Drosophila melanogaster: one gene and its partners. The protein of the gene in region 4 purifies or fractionates together with the protein of the main gene of each other region. This does not show direct contact. Each region holds a gene or a part of one and is shown on either strand. Other genes may lie near its edges. The genes, in order: CG10638, CG4570, CG14715 and Trxr1.

Region 1 (5,332 bases), on a different chromosome or scaffold from region 4:
AGCCCGTGCTCATCTTGGCTGGCTCTGACGTCACCCCACAGGCCGAGGTGCTATTTACAAAGGTCTACGGCGGCGCGATTAACCCAAAATGTACCCAACAATCCAAAGATAATTAGCCTGTCGGGCGTAATAGGTACATCAACTAATAGCCATAATACTTTCATGCTTCATTTCTGCGGTTGGCGCAACTAATAGCTTCCGCGTGATATTTTTTGGCCATACATCAGAATAGAAGATCCATTGATAAGAGAATGTTGGCAAACAAAAAATGCGTCCTTAAAATTGATGTAGCAATTTAGGCTAACAGCTGGCAATCAGCACAAGTTCTTCTAAAAGAACGTTTTTTAAATCACATATCCATCTTAAATCCATATGCTTTTTTACGTCTTATTTACTTACTAAACTTTTTTCTATTTTCTATATCTAAAGTTACTGTAGAAAAGCTTGAAGCACCTTCTAAAAATATCACTAGTTCATTAATCAATGTCTAAGCTGAACAACTATTGAAATGATTGAAATAATGCAGGTATACAGTTTTTTCCACATGTAACTTAAATTTGAATCTCCATTGGTGATCTCCAAGTTTGAGCACTTCGCATTACCATTGGTCGTAAAAGCTTAATACTTAATATTTCGGTCTTATTCAAACATTTTCACCTTTTAGCTTGGATGTCAAACGTGCCGTGCCAAAGATCGATGCTTCCATTTGCTCCTCATTTCTGGGAATAAGTTCCACGGTGGGGTGCGGATCGGATCGTTGGCAACTGGACGGATTTCATGGAGAACATCAAGGCACTAAGAGCTTTGTGTTGGATTTGGGTTTGGAATAAGTATGCAGATACATTCGTGCATTCAATTTGTTGTCATAGAGATTGATGTAATGACAAATTTATTACATTATATTCGTGATACAGCAACAAGGCGCTCATCTGGTTTAAAACTCAATTGAAAAGGGGTAGTACTTGTGGTTGAGGCCCTTAATCAAATTTAATGGCACCACCCGTTCGCCAGTGTGATAACCATCGAGAACGGCCATTTCCTCGGCTGTCAGCTCAAAATCGAAGATATCGAAGTTCTCAGAAATTCGGTTAGTATTCGATGACTTTGGAATGGGAATGACACCCAGACCAACCTGCGAAAAGAGAGATTTTAATTAGATGCTGTCGCTGAGGTCAGGTTGATGCCTCAATTACCAGGTAACGCAGCACAATCTGCGGTGTAGTCTTGCCATATTTTTTGGCAATAACAGCCACCTCCGGCGAATAGATAAAGTCCGGCTTCTGAATATCCGGCTTGGGCTTTCCCAAAGGCGTGTAGCCCGTCAAGGTGACGTCGTTCTTCTTGCAGAAGGCTGTCAAAGCCTTCTGGTTGAGCGCAGGCGAGCACTCCACCTGGTTAGTGACGGGTTTGATCTCGCAGTTGGCCAAAACTCGTGCCAGCTGCTCGCTGTTGAAGTTGGATACTCCGATGCTGCGCACCAGGCCCAGTTTTACCAGCTTTTCCATGGCTTTGTACGTATCCAGATAGTCGACATCGCTCAGTTGGAGCACATCGTCCTCATTTTTGGGCAGCAGGGTGTTGTCATCTACATATTTGTAGCCCACTGGCATATGCATCAGATACAGATCGATATAGTCCAAGCCAAAATTGCTTAACTGCTTGCGGCAAATGCCCTCAACGCGCTCTGGATCGTGGAAAATGTTCCAAAGCTGCGCAAAAATATAATCTTATTGATAGATCTAGAACATATCATCATGGCATTTACCTTAGTGACCAAAAATATATCCTCTCGCTTGACCACACCTTCTGCGATCTTGTCCCGAATCGCCTTGCCCACTTCGGCCTCGTTTTGGTAGAAATAGGCCGTATCTATATGACGATAGCCCACATCAATCGCATGTTTCACAGCGGCTTCGCCTTCGTTGTCCTTCGACTGCAAATAGAGAATATCAAATTCATCATTAACCTTTCTCCTTTCTGACAGAATCAAATATGTGTTTTATAATGCGACTCTTGAGATCAGTATATTGTTATTTTCGACCACAGCAACACGTTCGTTTCGGCCAGGAAATTGTGAGCATATCGGAGAGCCGCGAATTGACAAATCGAAACAATATCCGAAATTATACAACTGATCAACGTCGCAAGGCACACGAAAGATTCGATAAACTTTGATAGAGACATTTAGAGAGATACAAATAATTATTTCCCCAGGTGAGCACTTAAAATGTTAATAGGATCATATCTAGCACAAAATATAGTATATTTATATATGATAACGATTGATATGATGACATTTTATAACATTGTAATATTGTACTAAAAAAAAACTAACGTAAAAACTAAACTATCTAACGAGATTCTATCTTATACATTTACATAGTTACACTTTTTTTCCGAACACTAAATATCTCTTGCTAGTACGGATAGTACTGATGATTCTTCGCTTTATCGAATTTCCAGATTCTGCGCCCTGTATTAAAGGTCTTCATTTGGAGCAACTCCTCCGGCGTTAGGTGGAAATCAAATATATCCAGATTCTCTACGAGATGGGCTCGCTGGGCAGCTTTTGGAATAGGTACCGTGCCAATATCGATCTGTAGATTTTTAGCCAATAAATATCTTTATCACTTTACAATTCTAAGGTCGTTTATACCAAGTATCTTAGGATGATTTGAGCTGGTGTCTTGCCGTATTTCGCTGCCAACGCCAGTAGCTTGGAATCAGTGTAGTAATCGGGCAGCGGATTGCAGGCTTTGGGACGCCCCAGTGGCGAATAGGCAACCACGGTGATATTGTGAAATTTACAGAGCTCAATTAATGGGACTTGCACCAATTCCGGATGACATTCTATTTGTAGGTTTGCCGGCTTGATTTGGCAGTTTTCCAGTAATCTCTTCAGCTGATTGGCATTAAAGTTGGACAATCCCAAGCTGCGCACCAGCCCCAGATGCACCAGTTGCTCCATACTTCTGTAGGTGTCCACATAGTCCACATCGCTATAAGTTCCAAAGATCAGTTTCTTTAAGCTTCTTGAATCTAAACTATGTATGTTTAGTTGTATCCCAAACTCACTTGGTCCTCAGCTGGCCATTCTCGTGGGGCATCAGATCTTCATCAGAGATGTAGTCCACGCCCACCGGCGAATGCATCAGATATAGATCTATATAGTCCACGCCCAGTAGCTTTAATTGCATATCACAGGCGTATTTCACCATCTTGGGTTCGTGGTATATGTCCCACAGCTAATTGGATATTGATTTTCGATCTATTTACATGTGCTGGTAACTATATATAACCCATCTGTACTATATCCTACCTTTGTGACCAGAAACACCTGTTCGCGTTTCAGTTTCTGGTCGCCAATAAGTTTAGCTAAAACCTTGCCTATAATGCCTTCATTCCTGTACAGATATGCGGTGTCTATATGCCGATAGCCCATTTCGAGGGCGTGGCACACGGCAGCCTCACAGCGAGACTTCTTTAACTACAGATAACATAATTAACTTTCAATTTCACAATTGCACTTAATTGGAATTGAATGGTAGAAATTTCCATAAACAATTTCTGCCTGCTGATTTATTAGCATCGCCGATGATAAGGACTTACATTGTAGGTTCCTAGGCCCAGAATTGGCATCTCGTAGCCATTGTTTAGCTTAACAGTCGGAGCGAGCTTCATTTTGCACGTTTAAATCAAGAATAAATAAGGAAATTCAATCGCTTAATAAAAAAAAAGCCGGTGAGCATAGTGTGACCAAAACGGCTTTGCGTAAAAATACCCAATGCCATTCTGCTAAGCTTTATTATTTAAATATTTTTAAGTGTTTAAATAGCTAAAGAAACTTTGATTTATATTAAATAGGAACAAATGTTGTCATAAAACAGTGTTAATTTTATGTTAAAAAGTAAAATGTTCAAATTTAATTACGGCAGTGCTTTTGCATTTTGGCAGCTTGCAGCACTGGTTTATAACTAGTACTTAAACAGCTGTTACGAAAATATCTTTTTTTTTAAGAAATCTAAACAAAAGAACTTTTAAAATAGATGGAAACATGAGATCCATTTGAAAACGTAAATAAAAATAGAAAAAACTAAAACTGCCAGCAAACGCACACAAAGCAGAGTTCAAGTTGTCGCAAAGAAACCTTGAGACCTTGAAAAGCAAGTAAACAAATCAATTTTTGTGTTCTCCCTTATTATAAACAAATAAATTCTAGGCTACAATGAGCCACTTGGGCCTTGCGGATGTGCACCAGTCCGAGGATGCCACTCCTGACCTGGAATCCTTCACTGGCTTCGGCAACTCCGCCGCCGAGGCCTTCATTCAAAGTCTCGCAGGAATGGTGAATCAGGGCGATGTGGAGACCATGATACGGGCTCAAAAGCAAATGTAAGCCATTTCATTTAACCAGAGATTATAATAAACATCCAAAATATATCCCACAGGCTGCAACGCTTTGAGAAAACCAACGAGATGCTGCTCAACTGCAATGCCTTATCGCAGAGTCGTTTGAAAAGTGCCAGCGAGGATTTCAAAAGACACGTGAAATGCCTGAGCGAAATGAAGAAGGATCTGGATTACATATTCCGCAAGATACGGATCATCAAGCAGAAGCTACAGTCGCAGTTTCCCGCCATTTACGCCGAAGTTCAGCCGCAGCGTAGCAGTTTGGCTGAGGAAGCCGAGGATGATACGGAAGCCCAGGCTAAAAAGACTGCAGAAACACCTGCTCCTGCTGCCGCAAAACCTGTCCTATCCACCAAGAAAAGTGCCGCCACCATAGAGTACGTGCAGATGGAGGAGGCAGTGGACAATGGCACTGTGGAGATCGAAAACGAGCTGATCAAGCGAGTTTGTTCCGTGGAAACTGCCAATCCCAATGATTCCTCCGACTGCACATCCGAGGATACAGGTTAAGCCTAATTAGCTTTAGTCCCTCGATATATTTATCTTCATATAATAACTTATTGGTTTAATATTTGTATAACCTGCTACTACATACAAGGACACAATTCGTTTAGTTAGATTTAAATGAAATATGCGTAATAATTTAAGAAACTAATGGCTTAAAATATAATCTGGTACTTGTACTGCTTGGGCACCTTTGAGATTATGACGCGACCATCGTAGCTGAGCGAAGCAAAGATCCACGGATCCACATTGCTCCACTCCGCGCAGTAAACGGAGTCCTCGTGCTGATCGAAGGTCTGCAGCAGACCATCTGGCAAGAGTTTGTGCCTCTCCTCGGCATCGGCACCACTGAAGTTGGACTCATCTAGTCCAGCCTGAACCTGCGTCTCCGAACTAACCGATCCCGCACACGTGAGCA
Region 2 (3,337 bases), on a different chromosome or scaffold from region 4:
TATGGAGGCCTGTTTGCCTTCACCATAACAGTGGCCAGGTAAGCAGTTCTTGATCCTTTTCCAACAGGTGAAATTTACCAAATCTCGTAATACCTTATAGCTCGGAGTTGGCCAGCAGCTTGGAGGAGGATAGCTTCGCTCTGGTGTTTGGTTTCAACACGTTCGTGGGACTCCTCCTGCAGTGCATCCTCACATTTGTCGTCGTCTCGGAAAAGGCCAATCTGAATTTGAATGTTTTTCAACAGTTTTCCGTCTACGCATTCTATTTTATAGTTATTGGAATAGTCTATTCTATTGCTGTTATATTGCAATATATATGGTCAATTTCGAAGAAACCAAAAGCAATTCAGGAGGCGAATTAACAACATACTCTAATGATGAAAAAGTGTTCATTTATCAAATAAAATTGTTATACATATTTAAAGTTTGTTTAATAAAATAATAATTGGCTTGTATTCTGAAACATTATTACTTTTAAGAAATATTTCCCAAGCTGTTGAAACATCGTTGATATTATATTGTTTTACACTTTATTAAAATGTATATGTTTTTTTATAGTTATAGTTTCAAAAAATGAAGATATTTAATCCTACGCCGCGAATCTAATCAGAGTGTACCATGTACATTATATGGCCACTACAAACTTAATAATATGTCAAATTAAACAAGATCATGAACGTCGTTATTTTCAATACAACATTCAAGAATCAGGGTGCGATTGGAATCCACAGCTTGGCTAGCAGAACTCGGTCTGATCCCCGCCGTTGCGGAGGACCGCTGAGACCCGCCACGTCATCGACTCGTAGAGCATCTCAATTTTGTCCACCATGTCCTGGTCGCTGTGCCAGACGTCGTACAAGACGGCTCGAAACTCGCTGACATTTTTGGGCGCCTGATTCTGAATCCTCGGCTGGATGATGGCCATCAATTGCTCGAGGAGATTGAGGTCATTGCAGACACTGCCCTCCGGTCCCATCAGCGAGTCAAGGAAGATCTCCTTTGGCGGCGTTGATTCGTCGACGAATTTAAGATCGTCCATGTTGAAGATGTTGCGCCAGTCGCGCACGGTCCAATCCTGATGGGCGGTGGCCCAGGCCAACCTCCTTTTTTTCGCCCCCTCACTGAGGCCGAAAGTGCTGGGCTCCTTCGGCTGTGGCGATCCTCTCGGTTGCCGTATGCCTTTGGAGCGAATCTCGCTGATCCTGCGCTGCAAGGTCCTGCGGCTGACCTCTATGCCGTGTCGGGCCAACTCCCGCTGCACATCGATGGAGGTGTAGTGCGGATTGTCGCTCAGCATTTGCTCGACAATTTGCCGGTTCTCCAGGACCTTGGGTCTGCCAACATCGCGCTTCTTTTCCTCCTCCTGCGCAACCGCCACGGGCGCCGCTGTTTTCAGTTTTTGCGGCAACCTCAGCGTGGCAGTCTTCCCCTCGAGCAGCTCACACTCACGAATGCAGCTTATCACGCTCTCCACGTCGCACTCCAGGATCTGGGCTATCTCCTCACAGCTGTTCGAGCCCTTCAGCGCCTTCACAATACTTCGAACTTCGGGAGCGAGAACCATTTCGAATCACTTCTGTACACCTCGAGTTTCACAATACCAATGATGGTAAATCGAATCCTCGATGGGCGTTTTATGCACCTGGCAGGTAAAAGTTTTTGCACCGATTTTGACGATAGTCTGGACCGTAGTTTTATGGCGAGCAAGCTGCAATTGGCGGGATTACGGCGTCATTACAGGTAAATTCAGTTGGCGTCCCTTTTTGTCTTTGGCGGCCATTCCGTTATTCGTCTGCGGCAAGACTGGCAACCCTTGTGTTAAGGGAGGATTTTCGGAATCTCATGATCAGCTGTTCGGGGAAATACCATTACTTTAACTGCAGCGTAGTTTGTTCAAACCTATTATTTCAGGATTATTTCATTCAAAACTATTTAACCCGATGATCAGTTCTGTGTTTTCCAAGTAAGGTTTAATAATATCGATAAATGATGAAAATAATAAGTTCTTAAAGAAATTCTAGTCTTTTTGTTAAAAAGTCATATTTTAATAAAAAGCTGCCTTTCCCGTGTATGATTTAAATAAAATATTACCAAGAGTACGATCTGAAATGCAAAAAACCTGTGTGGGAACCATTTAAGTTTACAACCAATTACCAAGCGCTTGCAATTGTTTTGAACATGCTATTTAATCGTTGATTTCCTTTGATGCTTTGTAGAATTACAAAAATAAATATAAAAACTTGTACATATGTAAGTGTTAGTTACCTCTACTGTAGGAAATGCAATACACCTTTTATCGAAATTTTAAAAATATATATATGCCAGATATTTAGTTTCTTGTCTTTTATGCTCTGTGTATGTTAGTTTCTTGTTTTACGTACACCGTTTTCTGGAGGGCGAGGGCAGTTTGTAAAACTATGCTCAACTTAACATATATACGCAAAGGGTGCACATTCATTTGGAATTGCAAATACCATAAAGATCAAATTTTGAGTTCGCTTAAGCTCGCTAGAGTGGCGCAGCCTTCGAGGCAGCTGATTGAACTGATAGATATTAAAGCACATAATCGGGGGGGAAGGCAACCGAATTAGCCACTTACACTAGGTGGCGATGGGACCGTAGCAGAGGGATCGGAATCGTATAATTAAATAAATAACGCTAGAGTACGCCTAATTGGTTTAGATCCATGTGCTAGGTTTTGATTTGTGTGTGTCCGTTTTTGTTACTCCATCGCTTTTGAGTGTATCTTGTGTGGGAGTGTGGAACGAAAGCTGGAGCTTGGGTAATCGAGAGTGTGGGATGGACTGCCCGTAGTTAGTCATCCAGATCTATATCGGAGTCATCCGAGTCGTAGCCTCCACGTATTGTCTTCTGTGGGCGGTTGATGAATGGTTTGCGTTTCACATCTGGTGGCTGCATCAGATCGCCCTTGTAGTCAATGGCCCCCGAGTGGGCGATGCGCCACTCCAGCATTTCGGTGGCGAAGTCGTCGCAGTTGCCCAGATCGGTGAATCCGACAATGAAGTCCTTGGTCTTGCTGTCCTTCACCAGGGCGATGGTGGGTATCACCTTGATGCGCAGTCGCTGGGTGAGGAATGGAGTCTTTTCGGCATTCACCTTGCAAAACTTGGCCTCCACGTGCTTGGCCGCGAGGATCTTCAGGTGCATGTCCACGATCTTGCAGCGCTCGGTGCTGTCGCGGTAAAAGTGGCAAACAATGTTGGGCGACTTTTTCGACATCTCGAAGAACTCTTTTTCGTCGGCCAGCTCGGTGTAGGTGCCATGACCCTGGAAAAGATTAGCAATTTTGGGGATTAATGAGATTGTTGCGCTAACA
Region 3 (3,167 bases), on a different chromosome or scaffold from region 4:
AGTCGCGCCTGAACAATCATATTCGCGATGTGCACATTAACGGCGACCGCAAGCGCAAGGAGGCAATTAAGCGCTTCCTCTGCTCCCTGTGCGGAATGGAGACGAGATCAGCCGCCGCTCTTGTGACCCATATGCGACGCCACACTGGCGAGAAGCCCTTCAAGTGCGATCTGTGCGAAATGGCCTTTCCCCGCCACTCAGAGCTGGCCTCGCACCGCCGGATGCACACCGGCGAGAAGCCATTCCACTGCACCGTCTGTGGCAAGGACTTTGCCCGCTCCGATAAGCTCAAGCGCCATATGCTTACGCACAGCGGCCTAAAGCCGCACAAATGCACCTACTGCGAGAAGAGTTACCGTCAGGCCAAGGACCTGAAGCTTCATCTCCAGCAGCACACCGGCGAATGTCCTTTCGTGTGCGGCACCTGTGGCGAGCGCTTCATCCAGAGCAGCACGCTGGAGAAGCATCGGTTGATGCGGCGTCACTTCGACGAGGTGGAAGCGTGGCTGAGACGCCAAAAGTAAGGGGCTCTTGCAATAAATACAATTTGGTCTAGTATAAAAGGAATGACATTATTATTTATTGGTCGTGGCGTGGCATCACTTCAGAAACAAGACAAATTACTACTTTAAATATTTGAGCATTAAATGTTTATGACTTTAGTTGAAAGTAAACTTTGGGTGTAGCATGGAATGCCTATTTGTGGCCCTATTCGCTTTACAGCTCTTCAGATCCAGAGCGCGGTTCGATTTTTACCAACTCCGTATCGAAGACGAGCACCGCATTGGGGGGAATCTTTCCGCCACCCGCTCCACTGGCTCCGTATCCCAGCTCAGGCGGAATCGTCAGCTTTCGCTGCTCACCCTCACACATACCAAGGATTCCCTGATCCCAGCCCTTGATCACCTGCCGAGCTCCCAGGGTAAAGGAGAAGGGAGTGCCGCGGGAGTAGCTGCTATCGAACTCTGTTCCATCCTGCAGTGCTCCCTAGAATGATTCCAAATTCGGGGTTAGGTCGGCTAGAGATCTTCCTTATCTGATTTCCCTTACTCTGTAGTGCACGTGGACGAGATCGCCGCCCTTGGCCTTCCGGGTGCAGTTCTCCACCCGCTTCTTAATGCCAATCTTCACTTTCGGATCGCTGGCAGCGGAGGCGGCCACAAAAGCGCAGATTAACAAAATATAAGTTAACTTCATCTTATCGAAAGCCAGTATCAAAAAACACTCGCGGTTTAGTGTGACCAGAGATCTACAATAATTTAACTTGTTCCCACTGCACACATAAAACCAAATAAATATAACAACTCAAATAGTTTTCAACGAAATTAAGAGATTAAAACTTGTTTTTTTTTTTTAACTTTGAAAAAATTAGTAACCAAAAGAAATTTTATGTAAATAAGAGAAAGATCAGAAGTGCAGTAGTATCGGTTCATAGTTAAAACCCAATCAAAAAAGGTCTCACTTAAATGCGAAGCCCGCGAAATTTAAAACTTCAAAAACCACTGCTGGACATATTTTTTCTTGTAATTTACAATAATATGAGTATAGTACAGCTCGGACTTAAAAATAACTTACGTACATTAAAGCTCATTTAAAATAGATACACACATTGTTTGATTACATATTTGACTTTCTTAAAACAAGGAGAGCTCCAAATAATGATCATTTGCTCCGGATTATATGGCCCCGAAGCGCGTGACAGTGCAAAAACAAAAATTGACATTATAAATATGCAACAGATTATCAGGAGATATACGAATGTACGATTATATCACAATAATAAAGGAATACATACAATTTAAATGATATTTAAAGCCCGACATACAACGAAGCCTACGCTTAATTAGGTGCCAACATTCAAGCATAATACTAATTTACACTAATATTTCGTATAAAACATAGCTACTATTATTACAAAGGGTCCCATTGATCAGTGCTGTAAGGGTGAAAGGTGAACTCAATCGCAAATTCGGTTTCCACTCGATGGGCTCTGCCGCTAACACTGCCATCTGGCTTTCAGTTGTCATTGGACAGATTTGTGATCTTGGCCGCATACATGCTGGCCACCTTGTAGATAAATTCATACTGCTCCTTGGTCTGTACGGCGCTGGCACGTCCGCGTCGCACGTAGTAAACCAGTTGGGGGATGTCCACGGACCGCTTCGGTGTTTCCAGACTGCGGATGGCCATGTCCGACGCTATAATGGTACCGGTTCGTCCCGTGCCTGGAGAACAGTGAACGGTTAGCGGTCTGCAGGGGGAGAGATGAAGAAGTTAAGACACAGAACATTAAAAAGCCATGCAACACACAACAACTGCTTTGATATGAATGGATGGAGATTATGTCAACCTACCCCTGCTGACTTCGTGTTCCGCTTCGACTTGAGATGTTTCCATTAATCTCGTGGCTGGACGTGCTGCCCGCCTCGGCTTTGCTGCCGTCCGCATCCATTGACGTCTCCAGGGTCGCGGACTTCTCGCGCAGCTCGTTGGCCTGCTCAAGGGAGTAGGACTTCAGCGAGGATCGCGCTTCCAGCAGCATGGCGATGATGGGCGCCTCCTCGGCCGGTACACCCGCCTCAGGCCATTTGTACCAGTAGTGGGTGAGCTCACGGCTCTCCTCGCCATCCACTCGCTTCAGAACCAATGTGGAAATGGCATAGCGATCCTTGACTTCGCGATGCTTGAGGGTCACCTGGTAATCGCCATAGCTGCTATGATTGTCCAGAGTCGCCGACGGTGGCAGGTACTCGGCGCACCTCTCAATTCCGTTCTCACTGAGATCCGTCGCCTGGATGATCACCCGCGACTGCTGTTCCCAGATCATGCGCCAGAAATCGCTGGTCGTGCTCTCCAGCGGCGCCTGGCAGGCTATGTAGTAGTTGGGTGCATCCCTCGGGCCCTGAAGTGATTAAAAAAGGTATCAAAATGATGTCTTTCCATTGGATAGCATACTAGTATTATTTGAATTTGAAGCTATCTAGCGTTTTTCGGCAAAAAGACGACGCGAGGTTGAGTAATGACATAACCATCAATTAAAACCGATTGCGGCTTAACTCTACCCCTGCCCACACAATGACTGGCGATCAGCTACGCGCGCCTCTCAGATAAACGATACCATAAAATCGCACAACAGACCTCTGCTGCTTGAATCTCGACATGCTTAG
Region 4 (6,930 bases):
GCTTGGTTCATAGTATAGCCATCTCGCTTTGTTTCGTGGCATCCAATCGGAGATACCACCTCGAAAGTGTTCCATACATACATATATGATTAATGCTAATTCCTTATAGAAGCTATTGAATTCTCTTTGCTGTTCATTAATTGATTGCATCAATTTACTGTCTTAATTTGATTTTGATTTGCTTGCGAGGATTCCTTAGGTCATAAACTTCAACCTTTTCGTAGCTTCTATTACACTTTATCACGCACTGTTTTTCCTTTGAAAACTAAAGTATAATTTATTACCCACTGATATATGTATCTCCAGGGTGCCATCGTTCGTAGCTGATTTATAGCCCTCGAGGGCAAAGATTCCCCTAGCAATGGCATTAGCAATTAGTCGGGTGGCTAACAAGTTGTCAGGCTGGCAGACAGAATCGATTTAGCCAGGTCAAGTCAAGCCATTTGCATGGCTAATGAACTTACTTGATTGAAAAGGCAGAGGAAGGGCTAAAGGTCGAGGTATGTTTTAAAGGAAATGCACAGAACTGAAACACAGAGGGGTTTGTTGGTGAAAAATTATATTCTTCAACCGTACATTTAGGGGATTTCATAGTTAATTTCATAGGTTCAAACAAATTCAAAATTTTGAGTGCATGTCGGCGGCGCAGCAGTCGTGGGTTGGGCTGGTCGCGCGGGTAGTTCCACTGGTGTCGTTCCACCCGCCATCGCTGCCCAGTGCCCCTCCCTTGCGCAGAGCTATTGTGTTGGGTGTTAATTGTGGAAACGAAACGGAACTATTGAACTCATCGATCGCTGGGCCGCGACAACAACCATTCATCTACGGGATTTCGGGTGGAGCAAGCGGCTTCGACACGTCCCAGGCGGCTGAGCTGCGTTCCCGCTTTAGCTGCAGCAGCTGGCCGGCGTGGGGTCCAGTCCGGAGCGCTTGGTGATGGCCAGCCGGGTGAATTCTTCGGCGGTAGTGGGATGGATGCCCACGGTGTTGATCAGCGTGTTAATAGTCAGGCCAGACTTCAAAGCGGCAGCGAATCCCTGGATAACCTCACCGGCCACCGGGCCAATATAGTGCAGTCCATAGACGCGCTGGTCACCATGGCGCTCGGCCACAGCCTTCAAGTAGCAGTAGCGCACGCTCTTCTGGGGAATGAAGAACTCCGTGGGCTTGTAGTAGCCGTGGAACACCTCGATCTCATCGGCTCCGAACTGCTTGACGGCATCCTCCTCGCTCAGGCCGACGCAGGCGTACTCCAGGGGCGTGAAAACGGTGGTGGCCACATCCTTGTAGTCCATGCGCTGGGTAGATCCTCCGTACAGGCGGCGGGCCAGCAAACGGCCAGCCAAAACGGCGACGGGCGTCAGCTCTGGCTTGCCATAGATGATATCGCCGACAGCGTAGATGTTTGCCACATTGGTAGCCTCCTGGGAGTCCACTGGAATCTTGTCCTTCTGCACAGTCACGCCGGCATTGGGCAGGTTCAGATCGTCCACCAGACCCTTGCGGCCGATGGCCCACAGAACGGTGTCGTAAACATCCTCGGCCTCCTCGCCGGTCTCCACGTTCTTGTACTTCACGAGCAGCTTGCCATCATCCTGCTTTTCCACGGACAGCGGCACCGTCTTGCGGAGGAAGGGAATGCCACGCTCCTCCATCGAGGCTGCCACCAGCTCGGCCATCTGCTGGTCGAAGCCACGCAGCACAATAGAACGCACCATCACAGTGGGCTCGTAGCCGAGACCCTTCAGGAATCCAGCGCACTCCAAGCCAATGTCTGAGTGAAAGAGCAGAAACCGAATGGGTTATTCATCAATTTGATGTAAGCAAATGAAAGTAGCTACTTACAGCCAGCTCCCACCACCAGGGTCTTGCCGGGCTCGCGGTCCAAACTGAACAGATCATCGCTGGTGATGCCATACTCGACAGCACCGGGAATATCCGGATAACGTGGTCGGCCGCCAACGGCAATGACGAAGGTCTGGGCGGTGATTGTGCGCTCGCCGCTCTTCAGCTTGGCCAGCAGTGTGTGCGAGTCCACGAAGGAGCCCAGTCCATTGATGTACTCCACTTTCCTGAGCGCAAATAGAAGGGTATAATTAGTGGGGATGCTCGAGCGGAAGCCATAGATATAGTCACACTTACTTGTCGCGCAGATCCACACGGGTCACCCAGTTGACGGACTTGATGTGGTTCTGTACGGACTGCACCAGCTTGTGCCAGTCTGGCTTGATCTTTTCGTCCACGTTCCAGCCGTAGGCGGCCGCCTCATGGACAGCCTCGCCCAGAAGGGAGGCCTGGTGCATCAGCTTCTTGGGAATGCAGCCCACGTTCACGCAGGTGCCGCCAACGCCCCACTTGGTGCCCAGAGTGGGCGTGGGCTTAACGAAATCCAGACAGGCCACACGGGCTCCATTGAGGACTGCCTCCTTGGCGCAGGCCAGGCCAGCTGAGCCGCCTCCAATCACAATAAGGTCGTAGTCGTAGGATCCTGCAGGAGAAAAAAGGTTTTCGTTTGATTCATCGCCTTTTGTCTATAGAAATATGTAATCTACTGCCAAAATTGGGCTTAAAGAGGTCAAGAGGTCACAGAACATGAGGAGCCGTCAGGAAATCTAATCGTAGCACAGCCAATTCACCTTGTATTATTAAAAACTTATCACCGTTAGTAACATCAATAGCCATGTTGTATTGGCATGGTCTGTTTTTGTTCTTAACCAGTATCTAGATTAGTTGAAAATCCTTATCAGTGATAGGTAATGATATCAATTAGCCATGTGGTGCCAACTACTCAAGTTTCTCTTTAGCTTCACTCATGATTATGGCTAATCCCCGCCTGCCTTTGGTGGACTCCTCGCGCAGTCGTATGTCCAGATAGGCGGATCGGTAGATGCTCCTCCGGTGGCGTGGTTCACCCTCGACCAACTGGGAAGCCGGTATGAATTCGAACAGATGCATCCAGACCAAAGAAGTGCGGAACGAAGACTGTTTGGCCTCCTGCAATCCGTAATCTGCACCGTGCAATCCCGTCGAGCTCCTTGGCTTCAGTTGCCAGGTAGCGATAGTGCTGCCGAATGCCACACATGCCACTGGGTCAGTGGGAGTTCGAATCAAAGTGGAGCAATCATCTAGCGACATCGCCACACACCAAGCCACGCCCATCCCAGCCCGGCCACGCCTTTCTTCCGTCCGTCCACCTACGCCCCCCCATTCGGTTTGCTTTGACCCGCCGGACTTTGTCATGGTTACGCCCCAAAACTAGTTGGCAACACCACACACAATTCGCTTTTATCGGACGGAATGCTAATCCTGGCCAGGAACAGGGGGAAATCAGGTGGCTACGTACGAATGCGAGTGCAAATAAACAATTGTTGTCGTCACACTGCAATTAATTGCGGAATGAAGTGGTGATGACGCAGCTCAGCAATGATGATGAAAGATCAAAGACGATGGCGGGCGCTCGTTGAGCGACGGATACGAGAGATACGAAATAGAAAACACAGATAAAGGGAATAAATGCACCCGACTGATATGGTGAAATCATCATCATCATCATCATAAAGCGATTCTCGAACATTCCGCAAAGGGTTATTCGTTCAAGAGCACCGCATTCGACAAAAATCACACATATCACGTTGGTGCTTTAAGAAATCCTATTATACCCTTAATTACCATTTGAAATCAGAATATGGCATATATTTATAAGTAAATTCTTCTATTGTTTTCGGAATTAGAAGCTTCGTATCTGCTCGATTGGCTAATTATTCATTTAACAAGAAAACTTGATCGTGGCATGTGGGATTTATATTATATTACAAATTAAAACATCAAATACGTTTAACTTCATATAAATAGATATTAGTTTTTTTTTACCAGCTAAAGGCAAAATGGCAATACAAGTGACTTGTATGAATGTAATTTAACAAATATTATTAATTCGTTAAGTCATATGATGTAATTCTTTTTTGAGGCAAATAACTGATATTGTTTAAGCTGCAATTGAGTAATGGTTTTATGAGCAATCCATAATTCAATTAAAAAAATTCGACTGACATAGTATTTATACGCGATTCAGAACTTTGTTGACCATTATACTTAGAGGATGTGCTCTTTTTGGCGCCCACAACGATGGCGCAAATCATGTACTTCAGCATGATACGAGTTTCGAGTGCTGTTCGCGCGACCCCGACTGTACAATTCCAGTTGGAGCGGGTGCGCGATGACGATTGACGATGACGGTGCAAATGTGAGACAGCAAATGCCGGGCAGGCATATAAACCCTTGGCGAATACGTGCCGCAGAAACCCGATAAGCCAGGTAATAAGAGCAGAGTAATGGACTTTTTGGCCAGGCAACTAACGGTTATTGCATAATGGCGTCGGTTAAACACAAGAAGACCCAGAAAAAACAACAAGCAAGAAAACCGCGACAATCGACCGCGTTGCCAACCGGCGGCAACAGGAGCAGCAGCTGCGGCGGCAACAGCAAAGATCTAATCAGAATATCAATCGATATCGATGCTCACCTCCTTTGGTGCTCATCTTTCGCACCGGTTGCGCGTACATGGCCGCCCTGTCGCAATGTGGATGCTGGAAGGGTGGTGGTGCGCCGGCACCGGATCCGGCTGGAGCATTCCCACCGGTAGCTCCAGTACTGTCGCGTGATCCTCGCTGTCCCGTCAAGTTCATAGTTCGCTGAAACGTGTGATGGGCACAGCTGAGACTACTGGAAATCCAATGGGGAACCTTTGTTGTCAGTGAGCCTCTGTTTTGTATAATGCCAGCCGAAGGAGACGTTAAAATCGTCGAGCACTGCCGCACGAACGTAACGGAGAATCTCGAATTGCACAAGTTCATCTTGTTGGCCTTTCCCCTTCTTCAACGTTTGGCGTTTCACTCTACCAGCTGGAGGCGAAACGAAACTATTCGCGAAAAGGGTGCAGAAAAATGACGGCGGAACACACAACACAAACACGTTCGCTGGTTCGGCCGGGAATGCTGCGAAAGCGGTGGGCAGGCAGAGGCGCCGATAAACGGCTACGTAACAGAAGCAGCGAGAAAGAGAGAGGGCGCAAGAGCGCGTACCGCAAAAACGAGAATGTTTGGGATAAAATGGATTTGCCATAAAGGAGCATCCATTGGATTGCGAAATTCCATTTGGGATTTGAACATCACAACAGTTGTTCTGCCCTTTGCCAATTGGAAATGTGCGAAACGCACGTTTGGCAATGCGCAAGTGTATCGATAACTCGCGGATGGTTGGTAACACTGCTGCTGTCCGAACGAAACAGCCGGCCGTCAAAATTTTTCCTAACATTTCACTATTTTCACGCTTGTGTTACGGCAATAAAGTCGATTGATAAGCACGGAAAGATCTGGCTGCGGGTCTGGTGAAATCCACAGAACACACGGAACCCGTATAGTAGTGCCGCCCTTTATTGGTTTTATCTCAAGTACGACGCGATAAGATTTCGAGCAACTCGATCGCGGATCTTCGGAAAAAAAAAACATGAACTCCATCCTGATAACCGGCTGCAATCGAGGATTGGGTCTGGGCCTGGTCAAGGCGCTGCTCAATCTTCCCCAGCCGCCGCAGCATCTATTTACCACCTGCCGGAATCGCGAGCAGGCAAAGGTGAGAGATGTTTTCTTCTTATTTTGCGTTGTCTCTCTACTAAGACAATCCAGTAATCCAACAAAACCGGTGACTCACAACCGTCGAGCTACAGAAACTACAGAAGCTACGCGAACAATCCACAAGAGCCACTATTTCTACAAACCGCTTTTTAATCGTCCAAATGGGCATGCATAAATTGAATGGTTCAATTGGAATCGAATTAACTGTGAAACTCACCTTGCACGGGCGCCATTATTTTGTTGCTTGTTGGTAGGTGCTCCACGTAAATCAGACAGAAAACAAGGATCAACGGCGGGTAGTGAATGTTGTTGTAGTCGAAGCGGAAATGTAAAAACTGCTAAGCGTGTATTGTAGCGGCTCTCGGCACTCGCGAAAGCACGAAACGAATAAGCGGAGCCAACTTTTGCAATAGCTTTTGTACTTTCGTACGAGCGTGCGAAAGGGAGACGTCGATTGGCTTGTCGATTGCTGGGCCGACTATTGTTCGGTCACACCAGCAGCACTTATCGTCTATCGGTTATTATGGCACTAACGCGCTCGTTGGGCGCGCTATTTAAACTCTCATGAAATACCAAATTTGCCTCTAAAAATTACAGTAATTTAACTGGAAAATTATTCATATATAAACTGCTTTTTTACTAATAATGTGCTTCTTATTCAAACATTTTGTCTTTCCCAATTTGGCCCACAGGAGCTGGAGGATCTAGCCAAGAACCACTCGAACATACACATACTTGAGATTGGTAAGCATTATGTTTTACCAGCCGCTAAACACTCTCGCATATAAATATATTTTCCGTGCAGATTTGAGAAATTTCGATGCCTATGACAAGCTAGTCGCCGACATCGAGGGCGTGACCAAGGACCAAGGCCTCAATGTGCTCTTCAACAATGCCGGCATAGCGCCCAAATCGGCCAGGATAACGGCCGTTCGATCGCAGGAGCTGCTCGACACCTTGCAGACCAACACGGTTGTGCCCATCATGCTGGCCAAGGCGTGTCTGCCGCTCCTTAAGAAGGCAGCCAAAGCGAACGAATCCCAGCCGATGGGCGTGGGCCGTGCCGCCATTATTAACATGTCCTCGATCCTTGGCTCCATCCAGGGCAACACGGACGGCGGAATGTACGCCTATCGCACCTCTAAGTCGGCCTTGAATGCGGCCACCAAGTCGTTGAGCGTGGATCTGTATCCGCAACGCATCATGTGCGTCAGTCTGCATCCTGGCTGGGTGAAAACCGACATGGGTGGCTCCAGTGCCCCCTTGGACGTGCCCACCAGCACGGGACAAATTGTGCAGA

Evidence for each region.
Region 1: the proteins of Trxr1 (region 4) and CG10638 purify together in Drosophila melanogaster (affinity purification with mass spectrometry, with the first as the bait; one large-scale study listed by BioGRID). This does not show direct contact.
Region 2: the proteins of Trxr1 (region 4) and CG4570 purify together in Drosophila melanogaster (affinity purification with mass spectrometry, with the first as the bait; one large-scale study listed by BioGRID). This does not show direct contact.
Region 3: the proteins of Trxr1 (region 4) and CG14715 purify together in Drosophila melanogaster (affinity purification with mass spectrometry, with the first as the bait; one large-scale study listed by BioGRID). This does not show direct contact.

Annotation. Positions count from the first base shown.
Region 1 is NT_037436.4:12,497,556-12,502,887, forward strand, and holds CG10638 (uncharacterized protein), read right to left. Parts: upstream 3,757-5,332; 5' UTR 3,682-3,756; coding exon 3,610-3,681; intron 3,488-3,609; coding exon of another isoform or gene 3,320-3,487; intron 3,246-3,319; coding exon of another isoform or gene 3,076-3,245; intron 3,000-3,075; coding exon of another isoform or gene 2,657-2,999; exon of another isoform or gene 2,646-2,656; intron 2,598-2,645; coding exon of another isoform or gene 2,418-2,597; exon of another isoform or gene 2,246-2,417; intron 2,215-2,245; exon of another isoform or gene 2,047-2,214; intron 1,934-2,046; coding exon 1,766-1,933; intron 1,710-1,765; coding exon 1,194-1,709; intron 1,133-1,193; coding exon 935-1,132; 3' UTR 551-934; downstream 1-550. Other genes in the region: CG10681 (uncharacterized protein), read left to right, coding at 4,226-4,392, 4,449-4,920; CG10646 (uncharacterized protein), read right to left, coding at 5,070-5,332.
Region 2 is NT_033777.3:10,855,245-10,858,581, reverse strand, and holds CG4570 (uncharacterized protein), read right to left. Parts: upstream 1,776-3,337; 5' UTR 1,565-1,775; coding exon 737-1,564; 3' UTR 516-736; downstream 1-515. Other genes in the region: CG14694 (uncharacterized protein), read left to right, coding at 1-38, 101-362; CG4511 (uncharacterized protein), read right to left, coding at 2,815-3,288.
Region 3 is NT_033777.3:11,672,312-11,675,478, reverse strand, and holds CG14715 (uncharacterized protein), read right to left. Parts: upstream 1,259-3,167; 5' UTR 1,198-1,258; coding exon 1,051-1,197; intron 988-1,050; coding exon 718-987; 3' UTR 556-717; downstream 1-555. Other genes in the region: CG18476 (uncharacterized protein), read left to right, coding at 1-524; CG42327 (uncharacterized protein), read right to left, coding at 2,017-2,251, 2,355-2,902.
Region 4 is NC_004354.4:8,241,649-8,248,578, reverse strand, and holds Trxr1 (thioredoxin reductase 1), read right to left. Parts: upstream 4,998-6,930; 5' UTR 4,851-4,997; coding exon 4,520-4,850; intron 4,391-4,519; exon of another isoform or gene 4,149-4,390; coding exon of another isoform or gene 4,082-4,148; intron 3,192-4,081; exon of another isoform or gene 2,953-3,191; coding exon of another isoform or gene 2,835-2,952; intron 2,486-2,834; coding exon 2,140-2,485; intron 2,070-2,139; coding exon 1,843-2,069; intron 1,772-1,842; coding exon 885-1,771; 3' UTR 546-884; downstream 1-545. Other genes in the region: sni (sniffer), read left to right, coding at 5,503-5,628, 6,323-6,374, 6,436-6,930. UniProt on the Drosophila melanogaster protein: Thioredoxin system is a major player in glutathione metabolism, due to the demonstrated absence of a glutathione reductase.